Arabidopsis thaliana: one gene and its partner. The protein of the gene in region 1 interacts with the protein of each later gene in a pairwise test. Each region holds a gene or a part of one and is shown on either strand. Other genes may lie near its edges.

What was found.
Region 2: the proteins of AT5G62130 (region 1) and MLO12 interact in a protein complementation assay, tested with the Arabidopsis thaliana proteins (one large-scale study listed by BioGRID).

The regions. Positions count from the first base shown.
Region 1 is NC_003076.8:24,948,160-24,956,752, reverse strand, and holds AT5G62130 (Per1-like family protein), read left to right. Parts: upstream 1-3,520; 5' UTR 3,521-3,834; coding exon of another isoform or gene 3,835-3,932; 5' UTR 3,933-4,017; exon of another isoform or gene 4,018-4,243; 5' UTR 4,244-4,326; coding exon 4,327-4,351; exon of another isoform or gene 4,352-4,621; coding exon 4,622-4,700; exon of another isoform or gene 4,701-4,892; coding exon 4,893-5,154; intron 5,155-5,229; coding exon 5,230-5,426; intron 5,427-5,514; coding exon 5,515-5,702; coding exon of another isoform or gene 5,703-5,716; exon of another isoform or gene 5,717-5,781; coding exon 5,782-6,068; 3' UTR 6,069-6,489; downstream 6,490-8,593. Other genes in the region: AT5G62140 (ATP-dependent Clp protease ATP-binding subunit), read left to right, coding at 1,377-1,820, 1,909-2,190; RR23 (response regulator 23), read left to right, coding at 8,528-8,593.
Region 2 is NC_003071.7:16,354,556-16,363,447, reverse strand, and holds MLO12 (Seven transmembrane MLO family protein), read left to right. Parts: upstream 1-3,504; 5' UTR 3,505-3,650; coding exon 3,651-3,767; intron 3,768-3,980; coding exon 3,981-4,038; intron 4,039-4,169; coding exon 4,170-4,414; intron 4,415-4,512; coding exon 4,513-4,629; intron 4,630-4,726; coding exon 4,727-4,787; intron 4,788-5,129; coding exon 5,130-5,218; intron 5,219-5,314; coding exon 5,315-5,389; intron 5,390-5,468; coding exon 5,469-5,563; intron 5,564-5,675; coding exon 5,676-5,725; intron 5,726-5,828; coding exon 5,829-5,869; intron 5,870-5,965; coding exon 5,966-6,139; intron 6,140-6,244; coding exon 6,245-6,280; intron 6,281-6,368; coding exon 6,369-6,436; intron 6,437-6,538; coding exon 6,539-6,599; intron 6,600-6,749; coding exon 6,750-7,193; 3' UTR 7,194-7,407; downstream 7,408-8,892. Other genes in the region: ATATH8 (Protein kinase superfamily protein), read right to left, coding at 7,703-8,107, 8,337-8,490, 8,882-8,892.

The sequences.
Region 1 (8,593 bases):
CTGGTTCATCTAACCGACGAAATGTACTTCACTTTTAGAAAAAACGACTTTTGAAACGTTTTGAGTTTAGCATATAAAAACTTTTTTTTTGGTCGTCATAAGGTGATAAGGTGTTAAAACCCCAAAATGGTGTTGCAAACTTACAAAAACGTGGCGTGAAAGAACATCACCACATTAAATTCAAATTTAATCCTTTTCTTTTAGAAGATACTAGACTAGTACATCGTGCTGATTTCCAATTGGATTGGGGAATATGATGTAAGTGTAAGAAAGAAAAAAATGATGTTAGTGAAAGAATATGGTTGAGATTAGACAAATTTGACGACGAAAAATAATGGGAATCTTTATCGTTAATGGCGTGCGGAAAATGAGTAAGCGAAAGGAGGACCAACGGTTAAAACGAAATTTGACAAAGTCCGATCGGTCCACATTCTACAAAAGCAGTCCCAATTCTATGGGTTTATATTTTCCACAGCGGCGGAAAGTCTTACTTCTTATTATAAGCATCCATTAAGTGTTTCATATGCACATATTTGAGCACGAAACGTTACACAAGTATCAATAGTTGTCTTTAATGTTTTTTTAGATGGCTGTTGTTCCTTTTTTTAGAGTTTTAGAGAAGTTTATATATTACCAACCATTCTTTACATTGCCTTTCATTACTATACAATTTGATAATTTGTTTAAGCGATGGAAATTTGAATTATACAATCAATCATACAAGTCAGTTTGACAAAATATATATCATACAAGTCAATATTTTTGTTTCTGTTACTGTTATCCACGATATTCGAACTATGTCTCGTAGTCCAAGAACCGGACTGGATAAAATACCCCCTCCTAAACAAGATTCGAATTTGGTTAATGGGTAAAAAACTTAACCTTATAATTCACTACCAAATTCTAACATATCACTCTCAAAAGTATAATTTTACCCGGATAAATTTATGAGTTTGACTTTGTGGATGAAGGTTACATGGGTAATAAATGGAGGAAATAAAAATTTATTGAGGTGGGGGTTCAAAAACTTTGTAAATGTAGTACTGTAGCTAGTTTTAGAGAAGTTTTATTTTATGACTTTTGTCCAACCAACCCACGAGTCCACGGCCCACCAGCATGTGAGATATTTAGCCCAAAAATGAGTAAAATGTAGTTGACCCATAATCTCTTCTTCTTCTTCTTTTTGACGTTAATTGACCCTATTGAGCCCATGTACACAAATACATTGATATTCCAAGAAATGTAGAATCTCAAGGTGAATGAACATTAGAAACTAGCCACATAAAAATTGTGACGATAAGATTTATGCTTTCTTCAATCAAAATGATTCAAAACAAACCAAAAACATCATAACAATTGTTAATAGTGAGAGAAACATGGCTTCAACAAAAATAAACTCTTTAACAACAACAATCTACAATTACAAATCCCCAAGAAGATACATTAACCACAAATCCCAAAACCAAATCAAACTAATTTCAAATTCCCTAAACCCAAAACCCAACACAACACAGCTTCCCAACACTCTCTACAGTGTCAGCTTCAAGACTATTGGAACAGGTAAGCTTGGCATCTCCAGATATCCCGATTTCGAATACTCTCCTCTAGGTGGCTCTGGTGCCGGAACCGCCAAGAAAATCGACGACAAAAACAGAGCATCAAACTCTGAATTGTCTGTTTGTTTCAATGTGGCCACTCTTTATATTCCTTCTCTCACTAGCCAAACCACGAAGTTTCTCGGCTTTCCATTGCCACCGTTTCTAAAAATCGATATCTCACCGGAGATTTTCCAAGGAACTATCAACCAAGAATCCGGGAAGGTGAATATTTCCTAAATCCTCTGTTTTTTGTTAGTCAAGAAATCCTCTGTTTCCATAATCCTCTGTTTTTGTTCGATTTCTTTTACAGGTGGAATTGGAGTTTATGGCGAAGTTCTTTTTCACGGCGGGAGGAGGGATATACAGAGCTCCGGCGTTGGTGGTGAGAACTGTGTTGACGACGGAGGAATCGATAGGAGAGAACAAGAGAGGGAAAGGAGAGAGACTGGACGAAGAAGGAAAGTGTAGACTCGTCGGCGTCGCGAAAGTTGAGACCATCGACGATTTGTTTATGAACACGTTCCTCTCTCTTCCGGCGGAGTGTCTCGCCGATCTACAAGCTATTATTTCAGTCTCTGATAATCAATCTTGAATCTTAATGATAAACCATAAATATTTGAGTTGAAGTTGATTAATTATTTGTTTACTTAAAAAAAAGTCTTACACTTAGGATTTGAATAAAGAATATGTAATGGGTGGCCATGGAAAATAAAAGATGAGATAATGGGTGATGATGAGCATGGAACACAACAAATTACAGCTTGAAGAAGTAAATGCGAATTGACACATATCTTAACACTTGTTTGTTTGTGCATTGTGATTACGAAATTTATATAGTTTATTTGACCGACGTTGTAATTTGATGATTTTTGTTGTTGTTGGAGAATTGATTGAATACTGTAGATGACTACTTGTGACGAAAGAGACTTTTTTAATATATAAACTCTAAAGTCTAAACTGTAAAAATTACTTATCTCCAAATTTCAGCTTATTTGTCTATTTCTCTTAATAGTAGTATAAGCCAAGGTTCCAATGTGTTTGCCGTGTTTTATGCACATAAAAGGGTTACGTTACACTTGTTCAAATAATTTAATTGGTTGGAAAAATGGAAAAAGAAGTTACATGTAAATTTGTTAAGAGAAGAAGAAGATACGAGTTTGGGAAAATGGAATAAAATCTTCCTCGTACCTCACAAGTCCTACAAAACTCTGGCAAACACTAATTACCACGTGCAACATAATATCATGTTTGATCTTCTTTTTACTAACGTTTCAAAACAAATATTTCTTCTCTTTTAGTTCTATGATTGTAACTAATAACAATGATAATAATGATTTTTTGTGTGTGTGTCGTATCACTCGATGATGCTTAAAGATTATTGATTGATCGCAACTACAAATCTACTGATTCGTTTTTTGACTTTTTATTCTTTGTTTATTTTGGCGGGGACTCGTGTGTAGTTTAAAGGAGAGATTAACTATAACATTAATAGTAACAAAAATAAAACCAGTTTAAATCAAAACTAAGGAAAATTTCCTCCCAAAAATTCGGGGACAAGTTCGTTTTCTTCTACACGCGCAGGTCTTGAACGTGAGGCTGTGGAATCATCGTGTTGTCATGTATTACAATATTTGTCATCGTTTTTATTTGTTTTCACGTTATCTAAACTATTATACATTTGTTTTCTTTTTCTCTTATTTGTCATAGATTCTTAACCAAAAAGTCAGAATACTTCCTAAGACTTTTGGTGGAAGATAAACTTCTTTTGTCATTGAGTATGTTAAATAGATTAAATAAATAAAAAATTAGCTTCAAAATTAGATAGAAATAAAAAATTAAGAAATGGATGGTCTGAAGAAGAAGTCGACGTCTGTGACCACTACAACTCCCACGCGTCACTCTCTCTTTCGTCACGCGCTTGTTTCTTCACTTCCTCCTTCTCTCACCCTCACGGGATTTCTCTCTCTCTCTCTCTCTCTCTTTTGCCGCAGCGAGATCTCTCTCTTCTTCTCTCTCTCTCTGGCTCTATGCATCCACCTGTCTCCGTAATTTGATGGACAAGAAGAAACTGCCACACCCTAACCCATTCAATTCCTCCGATCACCCACCGACTTACTCTGCTCTCTAGAAATTTCCCTACGAGAAAGCTTCTTCCTTTTGTCTTTTTGCTTCTCCTTTCTTCTTCTCTTCTATTTCTTCTCTCTACTCTCTACTTTCTTCTGTTTTTGGTAATCGGATGGCGCGAAATCTGCCATGGGTTCTGCTTATTATTGTGGTATCGTGTCTTGTTTCAACACTTGAAGCTAGTGAAGGAGATTCTGATTCTCTTTACAAGTAAAAAGTCTTCTCCTTTCTCCTTTTCTAAGATCGCTTCTTTCAATTCACGGCTCTTCTCTGCTTTATTCATATCTTTGGAGAAGTAAAAATACAAACTTTATTTCTTAATTAGCTTTCTGTTATTGCTTACTGACATTATAAATGCTGAGCTATGTTTTGATTTAACTGTCAGAGTCGACCGTTAGATTCATTGATTGCATAACTCTGGCAGTTGATTCTCAAATTCTCGGTTTAGCTTTAATGATCTTTCTGTTTTAGGATACAAGTTCAGATTTTTTTACTTGTAAGGTATGGATTGAGTTTCACAGGTTTGGTGGAAATTTAGAGCCACTAACAAAGGAGTGACTCAAGTAGGAGGAGCTTATTAGAACTATGTGGTTGACTTTTCCAAATGAATTTCTTTAGTCTTGTGTGTGGTGAGAGTTGGGACACGTTAGAGATGAGATCTTTGTGTGTTTCCACAAGCCCTTCATTTTCACTGTAGTAGGGTCATTGCTTTTGTTGGAAAGATTATAAAGGCAAAAAACTAGATAGGGACTTATGCTGCAAGTGGCTTTTGAGGAGTTAGGTGTTTCTTTTTTGTTGGGTGGAAGCTTGTCTTTCTCTCTGTCTCTCTGTTGTTTGCTTTGTAGGCCATCTAAACAGCTTAATCTATCTTGAGCCTAATTAGAAATGAAAAAGCTCAGAAATTTGTTTCAAGGCAGCTTACTACGATTTAGCTAGACCGGTTGATGTTGCATTAGAGACAGGGTTTGTTGTAATAAGGTCTTATGGGTGTGTGTTAGTGTAATGCTACATAGCGTGGCAAAGGTTTAGTTCGAGAAATTAGTTGGATGTTAGTGTCATAGAGTGGCTATGGTTAAAGTTTTGTTGTTAGAGTATCCTCGGTTGCTTTATACTTTTGGCTTTTGCTGAGTTTAAGAAGAGACTAGTGTTAATGTGCTAATTGGTTTCCAGGTCATGTGTTGATCAATGTCAGAAAACTGGATGCGTGGGGGATACTTGCTTCCAACACTGTAAATTTTCAGCTGATGGAAAAGCCATTGACGGTCCATGGTACATGCAAGAGCCACTTTACCTGAGATGGAAACAATGGGATTGCCAAAGTGATTGTCAGTACGAATGCATGATGACAAGAGAAGAAGAAAGAAAAAGAAACGGAGAGAGACCTACCAAGTATTTCGGTAAATGGCCACTCAAACATGTCTACGGAATTCAGGTAATCTTCTCTTTGCAATTCTCTCTACAAGTCTCAGCTTTAAGTATTGTTCCTCATCTATTTGTATATTTTCAGGAACCTGTCTCTGTTGCTTTCTCTGCTCTGGATCTTGCAATGCAGTTTCAAGGATGGGTCTCATATTTCATCCTCGTTTACTATAAATTGCCTCTCCAGCCAAATCGGAAAACGTACTACGAGTACAATGGAATAGTGCATATCTACGCCATCATTGTAATGAATTCACTCTTCTGGAGTAGTATTTGTCATAGCAGGTAACATTCCTATTTCTATACCAAGATTGTTCGTCAAATAATTCTCACTTATATGTTTTCCTTTTTTGCTTTGAACTATGTTATATAGAGATGTTGAATTGACGGAGAGGCTAGATTACTCTTCAGCTACTGTATTAGCCGGATTTTCGCTTATTCTAGCAATACTCCGGTCCTTCAGTATTCAAGATCAATCTGTCAAAATCATGGTTACTGCACCTATTCTTGCGGTTGTTGCAACTCATATTCTCTACCTTAATTTCTACAACCTCGATGAAGGTATGGTTCTTTAGGGATATACTTTACATTACGAAACGAAAACACGGGTTTCTTGAAATGCATATGAGCTATATTGCAGGGCTTCACTGGAAAGTTATATTCGGGATTGGAGGAATAGAGCTAGTAGTATGGGGATTATGGGCGGCTTTAACGTCACATCCATCAAAGTGGAAGCTAAGAGCTTTCTTGATCTCGAGCATACTCACATTGTGTCTTAGAATGTTCGACTTCCCTCCGTACAAAGGCTACATCGATGCTCATGCTCTTTGGCGCGGTGCAGGGATTCCTCTTTCTTACCTTTGGTGGAGTTTCGTCTGCGATGACGCAGTTTTCAGAACCACCGTTAATCTCAAGAAATCCAAGTGATCATGAACAAATGATACAAAAGTCTCGTTTATCTTATATTTTTCCGGCGAGTTTCTCCGGTGTTCAGAAGTTGTTTTTAGGCGTGTTTTCGCAGAAGAAGCAATGTTTTTGGTTCTTCTGTGGTGAATCTGCTTCGCTTTTTGGGGTCTTCCTCTCTCTCTGTTTTTATGTATTATTTTTGTTGTTGTTGGTTTTTTGTTTTTGCTCTCAAGGCTTGTCGGCCGGAGAGTTTTACCGTCGAGAGGGACCGATCTTTTAGGATCACCAGTTTCATTTTCCCGCCCTTTGACTCAAATCAAAAGTCCTTTTCTAGTTATCATTTTTCTCAATGTAAAAAAATGTTCTATTAATCTGTTTTTTTATTCCTTTACTTCGTTTAGGTTACTTTGGGCTCTTAAGCAAAGAAACCCTAGTTAGCCAACACCATTAACTAGTTGAAATGAACTTATGAACAAACACTGTTCAATGAGGGTTAAGTTTTAATACTGAAAAGAGAATTAGACATAGTGAATGACTTTACTCATTATTTGCAAATATTTTTGATATAGTGACAATTTTGGAAATAAGTTATGTATTTTCAAAAATGATTAAAAAATCACGAGATTTTTATTTAACAAGTGCGATAAAATACAACACTTTTCTACGAAGATACCAATGCGTCTTTTTTTGCAAAGATTGTCCCAAATTAGGCTATCTTAGGTACTTAGCAAAGAAACATGTAATTAGCTAAAAAGTAAAAACAACAAATTCAGTTCAATTAAAGTTTAGTTTTATTAGTTAAAAACTTAAAATAAATTTAGACATAGCTACTACATCTATCACCTAATTTACAAAAATAAAAATAGACATATAGCAAGTATATTCAGAATTATAGACACATGTAATTAACACAAAGTTATTGTTTTATATTTATTTAATAAATCTAACTAAGAAGTCAAAAAATCTGATAGACAAGCAATCCTAAATCCGAAAATTAGAAACTAAACTTTATTGTAAATATCTTTAAATCTTCTTAATTTTGTCTAGATTTTGTATATAAATTAACATAAAGTGCTCAAGTAGTGGTATTTTTTCCAGAGATGTTTAATTATATAAAAAATATATACCATTTGATTTGGTTTGGTATAATTTCGGTTTTGGCCCTCACAAATTATAATCTTGTAACATGTCTTTTTTTTTTTTTTTTAGTTTCTTTTTCTTCATTTGGTTTGATCCAAAAATTTACGAATTACTTAATAGCAAAGAAAAAATAACAAAAAATAAATAAATTATGTTAAGGTCATTTGACTTGGTTTAGCTGAACCAAATGATACTCTTGGTTTGCCCAATGTAACTTTTTTTAGATACACGATTTAATTATAAACACTAAATTTTCTCCCTCTTTAATCTTTCTACTAAAGCTAATTTTCTAACATTTATAGTCCATATATATTGGTTCCAAGGGTTACCTTAAGAGCTAGTTTTAAGTTTGCATTAGTGTGTTTGCAAAAGAAAAAGAAAGAAGAAATCTGTATGTTTTGGCTACGATTTGAACTAACGCTATAATCATTATCGTGAGTTTCTGACTATTGAACTATGTTTTGGCTACGTTCTGAATTTATCGTTTTCGCATAAGAATTGAAGATTTTCATTTTCATTCATATTTGTTTATTTGTTTTGTTGGTTTTACATACATATTTGTTTTTTTGATATGTTCATAGACATGCGATCAACGTTTCGATAACAAGCACATATCTAACTTTTCATTTACTCTCACAAATTTGTGTAATGATCTCACATGATATTAAAGATCTTATATATATGTCTGCAGGGATAAAGCTACGTTTAGTTATCGAGTTATTTGTTCAATTTTGTTTTTGGAGGATAGAGGAGTTCAATTAGTTTATGGTCCTTATATGTATAATATTACTACTAACTACTATACATATAAGTTTGAACTTTGCATATAATTAACAATCATTATCTTTCATCTAATTAATTTCCTTATAGAAAATATGTGTTCCGATTAATCGACTACTTCATAAATAACATGTCGTTATTTTGTCTTATGAAAATAGCTTCGATAGAAAAACAATATTCTTACAAAACTCGTCTAATTCAAATGTTTGTAAATACATGTAAAACGTGAATCTTTTTTTTTCTTTCTAATTATTTCTAACAAGTATCTATTTCAGATGAATTAATATTGGTCTTTTATGTAGTTTCTTTTTTAAACGAAAATTAATGATTTTTTCAAGAATATTGACATTTTTAATTATGGGCCAGAAGCTGGTGTTTGATCAATTTTCTAATTTCAAGGCCGGGTCTGCCTAACCCATACACACATTTCTCATATTATATAGTGTAATTTATTTTCTTGACCAACATATAGTTATTTTTGTTTTATTGTTTGTTCAACATATATATGAGTTATTTAATTGTTTTAATATATAGAAAAACTATTTGGGGAAGTCAAAGTAATGACAGCAAAAGATTCGTCAGAACCAGTTACTACGCTTACTCAATTCAACAATATAGATGTTGTA
Region 2 (8,892 bases), on another chromosome or scaffold:
TGTGTGGATTAATTTGTAGTTTTTGAATATTACGGTCTTAGTTAGGGATAAAGATAAAACCAAATGTTCCCCAAAATATTATGAGTTTCTGAAGAAACACTCATTAGTAGGAAAAAGATTTAGGACTAGTTGTTTGACCAAAAAAAAAGAAAAAAAAAGAAAAAAAAAACTTTGGACTTTACCACTAATTCTTTGAGCGAGTGAGCTTATTTGTTTCTATCAGAAGCCCACTAACATTTATTCTAAACTAAATGTATTTAATTAGTAAAACACATTGATCCTAATCAAAGTCGCTTACAAACCAAAATCCACATAAAAATAGAAAAAAAGAAGAAGATGAATTTGTGATGATATCTATCACACTTAGAGAAAATAAAGGAAAAACACCTACTAACTAAAACATATTATAAAGATAATAACATATTATAAATCAATAGATATTCTGTGTCAAAAATATTAATTTGCAAAACCATTTTTGTATATTAAATATTTGTATTTGCTCTTATACAATACATTGCAAATTGTATCTTAAAAGTGGTTTTGTGACAAAAAAAAAAAAAAAAAAAAAGTGGTTAATAAGTTCTTATAAAACCTATTTAAATATGATATAAGGTTATTAATTCAATCACTCACTATGAATATAAATACATAAATATATAAAGAGTCAACCATAATTATTTTTATTTCCCTAAGCAATGTAAACGATATTTCATGTCATGAATGAAATCCATAAATAAAATAATTTGCTGTAAATATTTACATCAATATCATGCATAGTTTTAAGATATTCAAAAAAATCATAGAGAATTTTGGAATATTAAAACTGATATGATACATAAATGAATTTCATAAAATACAAACCGTCAAAAACAAACATATATCGTGTACATTTAGTTTTCATTTTTTATGGACACAACGTACATAATTGCAGATGATTTTTAATTAAAATTTATGAGGAGAAAATGCTAACCTTGTATATATTTTCCTGTTTCCGTATACTAATTGACTTGAAATGTAATAACTTCCGTGTTCTGTTTTTTGATTTTTTTCTTAGTTAGGCTATGAAAGCTCTTAAATTGTTACCTTTTTTTGTTCAATAAAGCTCTTAAATAGTTACCTAAAATTAGAAACAATACGTAAATTTCTATGTTTTTTCTTCAAAGTAACTTAAGTGGCGGTCAACCAAGAAAAAACATCATAAATTTTATTGTCCATCCAACTTGGAGAAATATTAAACTGTTAATCTATTTAATTAAAGATTAAATATGAATTTAATTAAAATTTAATCTGAATTGAATACAACTCATTATTAAGATTTGTTCAACTTGCAGAAAAAACAAGGGAACAACACGTTTTCAGGGATGACTTTCAAAATTTTATATTGGATAACGATGTGGCAAAGAATACAAAATTCAAAGAAGGAAACCATATGAGATCGGTTAAGATTGAAAAATTGGAGCTATGGGTCAAAACAAAGATGGACACATGGATGATTTTACACCACAACCTTACCAATAAAGAGTCAACGCTTAGGAAGTTTAGATCAGTACATATCATAGAATGGCAATGTCAATATGATTTGAGTTGACTCTAACCTTCTTTTTTTTTAAATGACAAATTATTTAATTATTTCAACTTCCTGATGAAACGGTTGAAATATTATTTTATCAATTTGAGTGAAAATGTGGAAATCCACTATTCTATCGAAGTTCCAACTCTAACTTGGTGGAAATAAGTTGTATAGGATAAAACCATAATATAATGGGCATTGTATTAATACCAAAACTGATCCCATTCCAAAAGAAAAAATGGAATTTTACGGTGGTATTGGCTATATTGATACTTTACTTGGAGAAAAAAAAAAATTGATTGAAAATATGACTAATATTATTAGTCGGACAGTCATATCAAAATGGAGTTGAAAAACAAAAATGGCTAATTTGGTAAATGCTCCATCGAGATTGGAAGTAAGAAAGAACATCTTTTCATGATTTTTAAATTGTAAATACCGTTAGTGAGTGTTTTCTTTGTTTAGTCACCTTGTGTTACAAGTCCTTTCTATAAGCCACTGATCGTTTTGTATAAATAATCAAGAAATGCAAGGCAGACCCATAATTATTTTAATAAACAATTATCATAGTCAACCCAAAGTACTTCCAATTCCAGCTATGGTTAAGTTTGACTTCACGATAAGTTTCACCTCACGCTTAAATATATATTTCCATCTATCTTTTCTTTTTGTTAAAGGATACCTTCATTATGGGTTAAAAAAGTGTAACTGTCAATCTGTAAATTTTTTATTGGATACAAAGAAAATTTATATTAACGACAACAGGTATGTTTAACACATGAGACGATAATCAATTCCAAATTTCCGGTAACGGCAACTATGTCCTAAGCCACACCTTGATTGAGTCCATTTACCACAATTTGATTTTTTTTTTTTTTTTTTGGTTTGATATTTAGTAATATCAATTCACAATAATATTTATGAAAATATCTTAACATACTTGTTATCAATGCTGATCCAACGTCTTAACCAACATACCTAACTGATAACTAGTTCCAGATGAATAGTCGTCCAACCCATAGCACACGATATTACATGTACAACACATGATTCAAAATAAATCATACTGGATTTTGCGAAATGTTTACCACGTATAGCTAGAATTTTCCAAAAGTTTTTAAAAAATTTGTACTTTGGAGATTTAAATCCTGATATGGCATAGAAACATGAATTCTTTTTAGGCCACCACCAAACCAAAATCGTTTTAAGTTTTTATGTACCGTTTTCGTCAGAAATTAACTCACTGAGTAACATGTTGGCTCTATAATTGTTTAGTTAAAACAAGAACTGATGAGAATGGAATATCAATCATTAAATGACCGCTTCAATTTTACCTCGGTTTATCGCTTGGCCACTATTTTATTTCCGAAACCCAAAAGTAGATAAACTAGTTTCTTTTGCATGGAAATTTTTTCCACCTTACTTTGGTTAGAGATTCTTTTACTTCGTTTTTCTTTAAAGAAGATTTTACATAATCTCATTCAATAAATTTATGATATATTAAAAAGTATCTTTTTCAGTTCAACATCGCAGACATTCATAATAACTGCCAAAACCCATTTCTTTGATCGTACCGTAAAATGTGAATGCGAGGCATGAATAAATTTCGGTCTTTTAAAAATAAAAATAAAATAAAAAATTTCAGTCTTCATCAGAACGACCGAACACTACATTTAGTTTTTAAAATTGAAAAAATCGTTTTAAGGTATGCATGACCCATAAGAAGTGGTAGCTAAGTTCACACGGCATTACCAGTCTCCTCATGCCACTTCATCTCAAGTCGTTATCTTTGAATTAGTCAAAGTCTTCGTTTCCCTTATTTTTTAATAAATAATTGCGGCTTTCACTTGTTTGACTTTCTTTTTATTCTCTTTACAAAGAAATAACAACAACTCATGTATAGGCATCTTGTTTTTAATTGAATTATGTATATATAGAGACATAACAGGAACAAAGTCCATATCACTTTCTTTCTCCTTTTCCCCTTATCGATAAACTTGCGAAACCCTAAAAGCTAAGAAACTTAAGAGTTTAAAGTTTAACAAAAACAACTTAAAAAGAGTTTTGAGCAGTGAAATTAATGGCAATAAAAGAGCGATCACTAGAGGAAACACCAACATGGGCTGTTGCTGTAGTTTGCTTCGTTCTCCTTTTCATTTCCATCATGATCGAATACTTCTTGCACTTTATTGGTCACGTACGTATATTTTTCATTTTTATATTTCCAAATCTTCCTTTCTCTCTTTTTGCTTTTCTCCAAATGATACGAAAGTACACATTAATTTAGTACTATTACTTTTGCATTTTAAGGTTATTAATGCATCATCTCGCTTTTTCTTAACTAGGCAATCAAAATTTATTCGGTATAACCCCATAATTAATCTCTAATTCTTCTTTTCACTTATTGTAGTGGTTTAAGAAGAAGCACAAGAAAGCTTTATCTGAAGCTCTTGAAAAGGTTAAAGCAGGCAAGTTAATTCACTATTCTATAAAAAGTTGTCATCAAAGACGACTTTTTATATTACAATATGATAAATCTTTCTCTATTTGGATTCCCAACTAACTTTCTTCTTTTGTTGTTGGATTGTGATGAAAATAGAACTGATGCTTCTGGGATTCATATCGCTTCTATTGGTTGTATTGCAAACACCAGTCTCCGAGATTTGCATTCCAAGAAATATTGCTGCGACTTGGCATCCTTGTAGCAACCATCAAGAAATCGCCAAATATGGTAAAGATTATATCGACGATGGCCGCAAAATTCTTGAAGATTTTGACTCCAACGACTTTTACAGTCCTCGCCGAAATTTAGCCACCAAGGGTTATGACAAATGCGCAGAAAAGGCATGTAATTCATAATTACTTACTAACTATACTAGTATGCCGCTTTTATGTTTAGCAAATATATATATCGGAATCTTATTTCATATTTTCGATTTCAGGGGAAAGTAGCATTAGTATCTGCCTATGGTATCCACCAGCTGCATATATTCATCTTTGTGCTCGCTGTTTTTCATGTTCTCTACTGCATTATAACCTATGCTTTAGGAAAGACCAAGGTACATGATCTTCTCTATACATTTTGTACAAGTTTATGCATATATTTGTATGTGTTTAATTTGTTTTTTAATCTATATATGGTTATGCAATATGTAGATGAAGAAATGGAAGTCATGGGAGAGAGAGACCAAAACAATTGAGTACCAATATGCCAATGGTATGTACATATACAACACACACTATCTCATCGCCATAGAGTTTATATTTGTAGAAGTAATTAATCAAAGAAAAATGACTAATAATCCGGTAGTTGACTTTGCCAAGGTTAACATCTTGATAGCGTATCAGTGGGAAGATAATTGTTTATTTCATTGATTAGTTTGTTTATTTGATTGAGTTAGATAATTGAATTGTTGATTAATTACAACGTCGTTTGTTTGACTCACGAATAAACAATTTAACACAAGAAAGTAACATCATATTTTATTTTTATTTAACTATATATTATCTGTCCTCTGATTTAATTTGTTTAGTTCAATTGGTTATTTAACTATTATAGATCCAGAGAGGTTCAGATTTGCAAGAGATACATCGTTCGGACGTAGACATCTGAATATATGGAGCAAGTCTACCTTTACCCTCTGGATTGTAAGTTTTCATTTCTTTACTTTTTGTGAGTAATTTTTTTATATATAATTTGGTTAAAAATTGACAACAAAACTTATGGATGGAAATGGAATGCAGACATGTTTCTTCAGACAGTTCTTTGGATCAGTGACAAAAGTAGATTATCTTACACTAAGACATGGCTTTATTATGGTAAGTAATAATTAGCATATACTACTAGTAATACACTATGAATTGTTGATTAATTACTCCAATTGGTGAATTGGTGCAGGCACATTTGCCAGCAGGAAGTGCCGCTCGTTTCGATTTCCAAAAATACATTGAAAGATCTTTGGAACAAGATTTCACGGTGGTTGTCGGTATAAGGTACAGTATGTCCCATTTTTTATTTTTATTTAAACCAAGTTTGTTAATATTTTGTTCAAACAATCTTGCACAAAAGTTAAATATCTGATTAAATATCTTTGTGTGAATGCAGCCCACTGATATGGTGCATTGCTGTCTTATTCATATTGACCAATACACATGGTATGTCCTAATTCTCTAACAATTCATTTAAGAGATTAAGCAAATCGTTATATATCAACGAAATATCTTTCTAAATTTCAATGTCTTTTTCAAATTAAAATAGGATGGGACTCATATCTTTGGCTGCCCTTCCTTCCCTTGATTGTAAGTAATAAAAAATTTCACTTCAAAGTCTTCAGTGTATTAATTATGTAGCTGTGAATAAACAATAATTGTATATGGTTGGTGTAAATATTGAAGGTGATATTGATAGTAGGAGCAAAACTTCAAATGATAATATCGAAATTAGGATTAAGGATTCAAGAAAAAGGAGATGTGGTTAAAGGAGCTCCTGTGGTTGAACCGGGCGATGATCTCTTTTGGTTTGGTCGTCCTCGTTTCATTCTCTTCCTCATTCACTTGGTTCTTTTCACGGTACACTTATTTACTTTTTTACATTTACCATCTTAAGTTTTTTTTTTGTCAACCCTTTTCTTATGACTTTCTAAATTTTGTTTCTTCTATGTATTTTGTTTATAGAATGCATTTCAACTGGCTTTCTTCGTTTGGAGCACTGTGAGCAATAACAATCCATTTTCTTCTTCCAATTTATATATGTTTTTGAAAAAAAATTAATGATTTTGGTTATGAATTAATTTTGCAGTACGAATTCACACTCAAAAACTGCTTCCACCACAAAACAGAAGACATTGCAATTAGGATCACCATGGGGTTTGTTAACTTCCTCAACTATACATAACATACAACAAAATAATATTATCTTTTGTATGTTTTGAACCTTAACGATAAATTTCTTCTTGTTGTATACGGCAGGGTATTAATACAAGTTCTATGCAGCTACATCACTCTACCTCTCTATGCTCTTGTTACTCAGGTACAACTTTTAACAAATTTTAAATTGCTAAGTGTCAATGCGTCATGTTTGAAACAATTAAGGGTTTGCTACAAAATTGTGATTGTCCCATATATAGTTTAGATTATTTTGGATGTATAGGATTTCTCTAACACTAAAATGTGATTGCAGATGGGAACATCAATGAGGCCGACAATATTCAACGACAGGGTAGCCAATGCATTGAAGAAATGGCACCACACAGCCAAGAAACAGACGAAACATGGACACTCAGGATCTAACACACCTCACTCGAGCCGTCCTACTACGCCAACACATGGCATGTCACCGGTGCATCTCCTCCACAACTACAATAACCGCAGCCTCGACCAACAAACCAGCTTCACTGCTTCTCCTTCTCCTCCTAGATTCTCTGATTATAGCGGCCAAGGCCATGGCCATCAGCATTTCTTCGACCCTGAATCTCAGAATCACTCTTACCAACGTGAGATCACAGATTCTGAATTCAGCAATAGTCATCATCCCCAAGTTGACATGGCAAGTCCTGTTAGAGAAGAGAAGGAGATTGTTGAGCATGTCAAGGTTGATTTGTCTGAGTTTACGTTCAAGAAGTGATAGGACTATACTTTTTACATTCTGTTTGTTCATTCTTTGTAAATGATATGAACTTAGGAATGAACACTTTTCTTATTTCTTTATCTGAATTTTGCTATAAGCTCAAACGCTTTATGATATCATTTCATATTAGTAGACAGACTTTAGATCTAGTTAACTGATATGTTTTACACAAACGCTTGTCCTATTCAATCAAATATGTTTTGTGTTTTGGACTTGCCCAAGAGGTTTCGGTAAATGTAGGACATTTTAGAGTGGAGAACTCTATTAAGTGTTCTTGAAGCAGAGCAAAAGGATTCCTTGAGGTCTCGGATATTATGATTAGTCATATATCGTTACGACAGGCATTGATCGTCTGATAGGATTAGATATGGAACGACTCTATACACGAAAATATTTAGTCTTTCTGTAGAATCTATCCCTCTTACTAAGGAACCCTTTGCTTTGGGTCTTGACAACAATATACATTAGTGATTCTGGTTCTGTGTTGGTGTAGGATGTTCAGGTAATCAGGTACGAAGTGCGACTGGAGCAGACAGAGATAAGTAGTTGACGTAACCTTCAGAGACCGAGATCACAAACCGATGGCAAGCAAGCGCAGTGGTGGTGAGAGACATGACAAAGGAAGTCCAGCAGAATCTGAGCATCAAAACTCGGTCACTCTTTGCAGACTCCAGTATCTTTCTCAGTATTACTCTGACCCGCTTGTCATTGATTAGAATCTTGAAGTCTTTGACTGTAATGTTGATTCCTGAAGATGGTGGTGGGTCTGAAAGAGAAATGAATTTAAGGGATTCAATTCCAAGGCTTCCAACCATCCATTGGTACATCGTAGTTGCAATCGTCATGCAAAGTTTCTGGCGTATGACAAGTGCCTCTCTTGAAATAAATGTCCGGATCAGTGAAGTCCCGTTCTGTTTTATCAAAACAGAGAACAATACAAAGTTTATTACTTGAGAGGTCATTTCCTCAGAAATACGACAAATCTACTTTAATCACAAGTTAAAGTCAACATGGGGATGAATGATGACCATAACCAGAAAGGTACCTTATTCCCTGTTTACTTTGTTAGAGACTAATCTTTAAGTTCAGAAAACTGGCAAAAACGATGGGAAGAATAGCAATTAGGATGTAGAAACTAACCGCAGCCATCAAGAGTCTTCTAAGAACCACACCATTTTTGGATGCCAAAAGTCTCAAGACCAAACTTACATTGTCAGCATCTTTGTCCGTTAGATTGGAACTACTATCAACAGAAGTTTCATCCCTTGATAACTTTAGCAGTGGCGATTGTTTCCTAGACAAGGTATAAAATAACTTATTATTATACAGAGACCTAGAATACAAGATAGTAAACAATATGCAGGGGCTAAACAAGACAGAATATGAATGTAAAGATCATTCAAATACTTTAATATCAAATCATTACCAGTCAAAGCTACGTTAGATGCCTATTACTTGCTCTTTGTTGTGAGCCATCTGACTCTTTGTAACTAAATTATTATATTTCATCTGATACTTCTGTAATTTAACAATAGTTTTCTGTTGCTGACCTCAAGAAAGTACTTAGAAGAGAGCCAGAGGCACTAAAATTCTCATCTTTTCCATATTACCTACACCACTTTATCCACCAGAGCTATACCTAGACATAATTCTAATGCATAAGTCAAATGTCTGATTCACAATACCTCGTAGAACT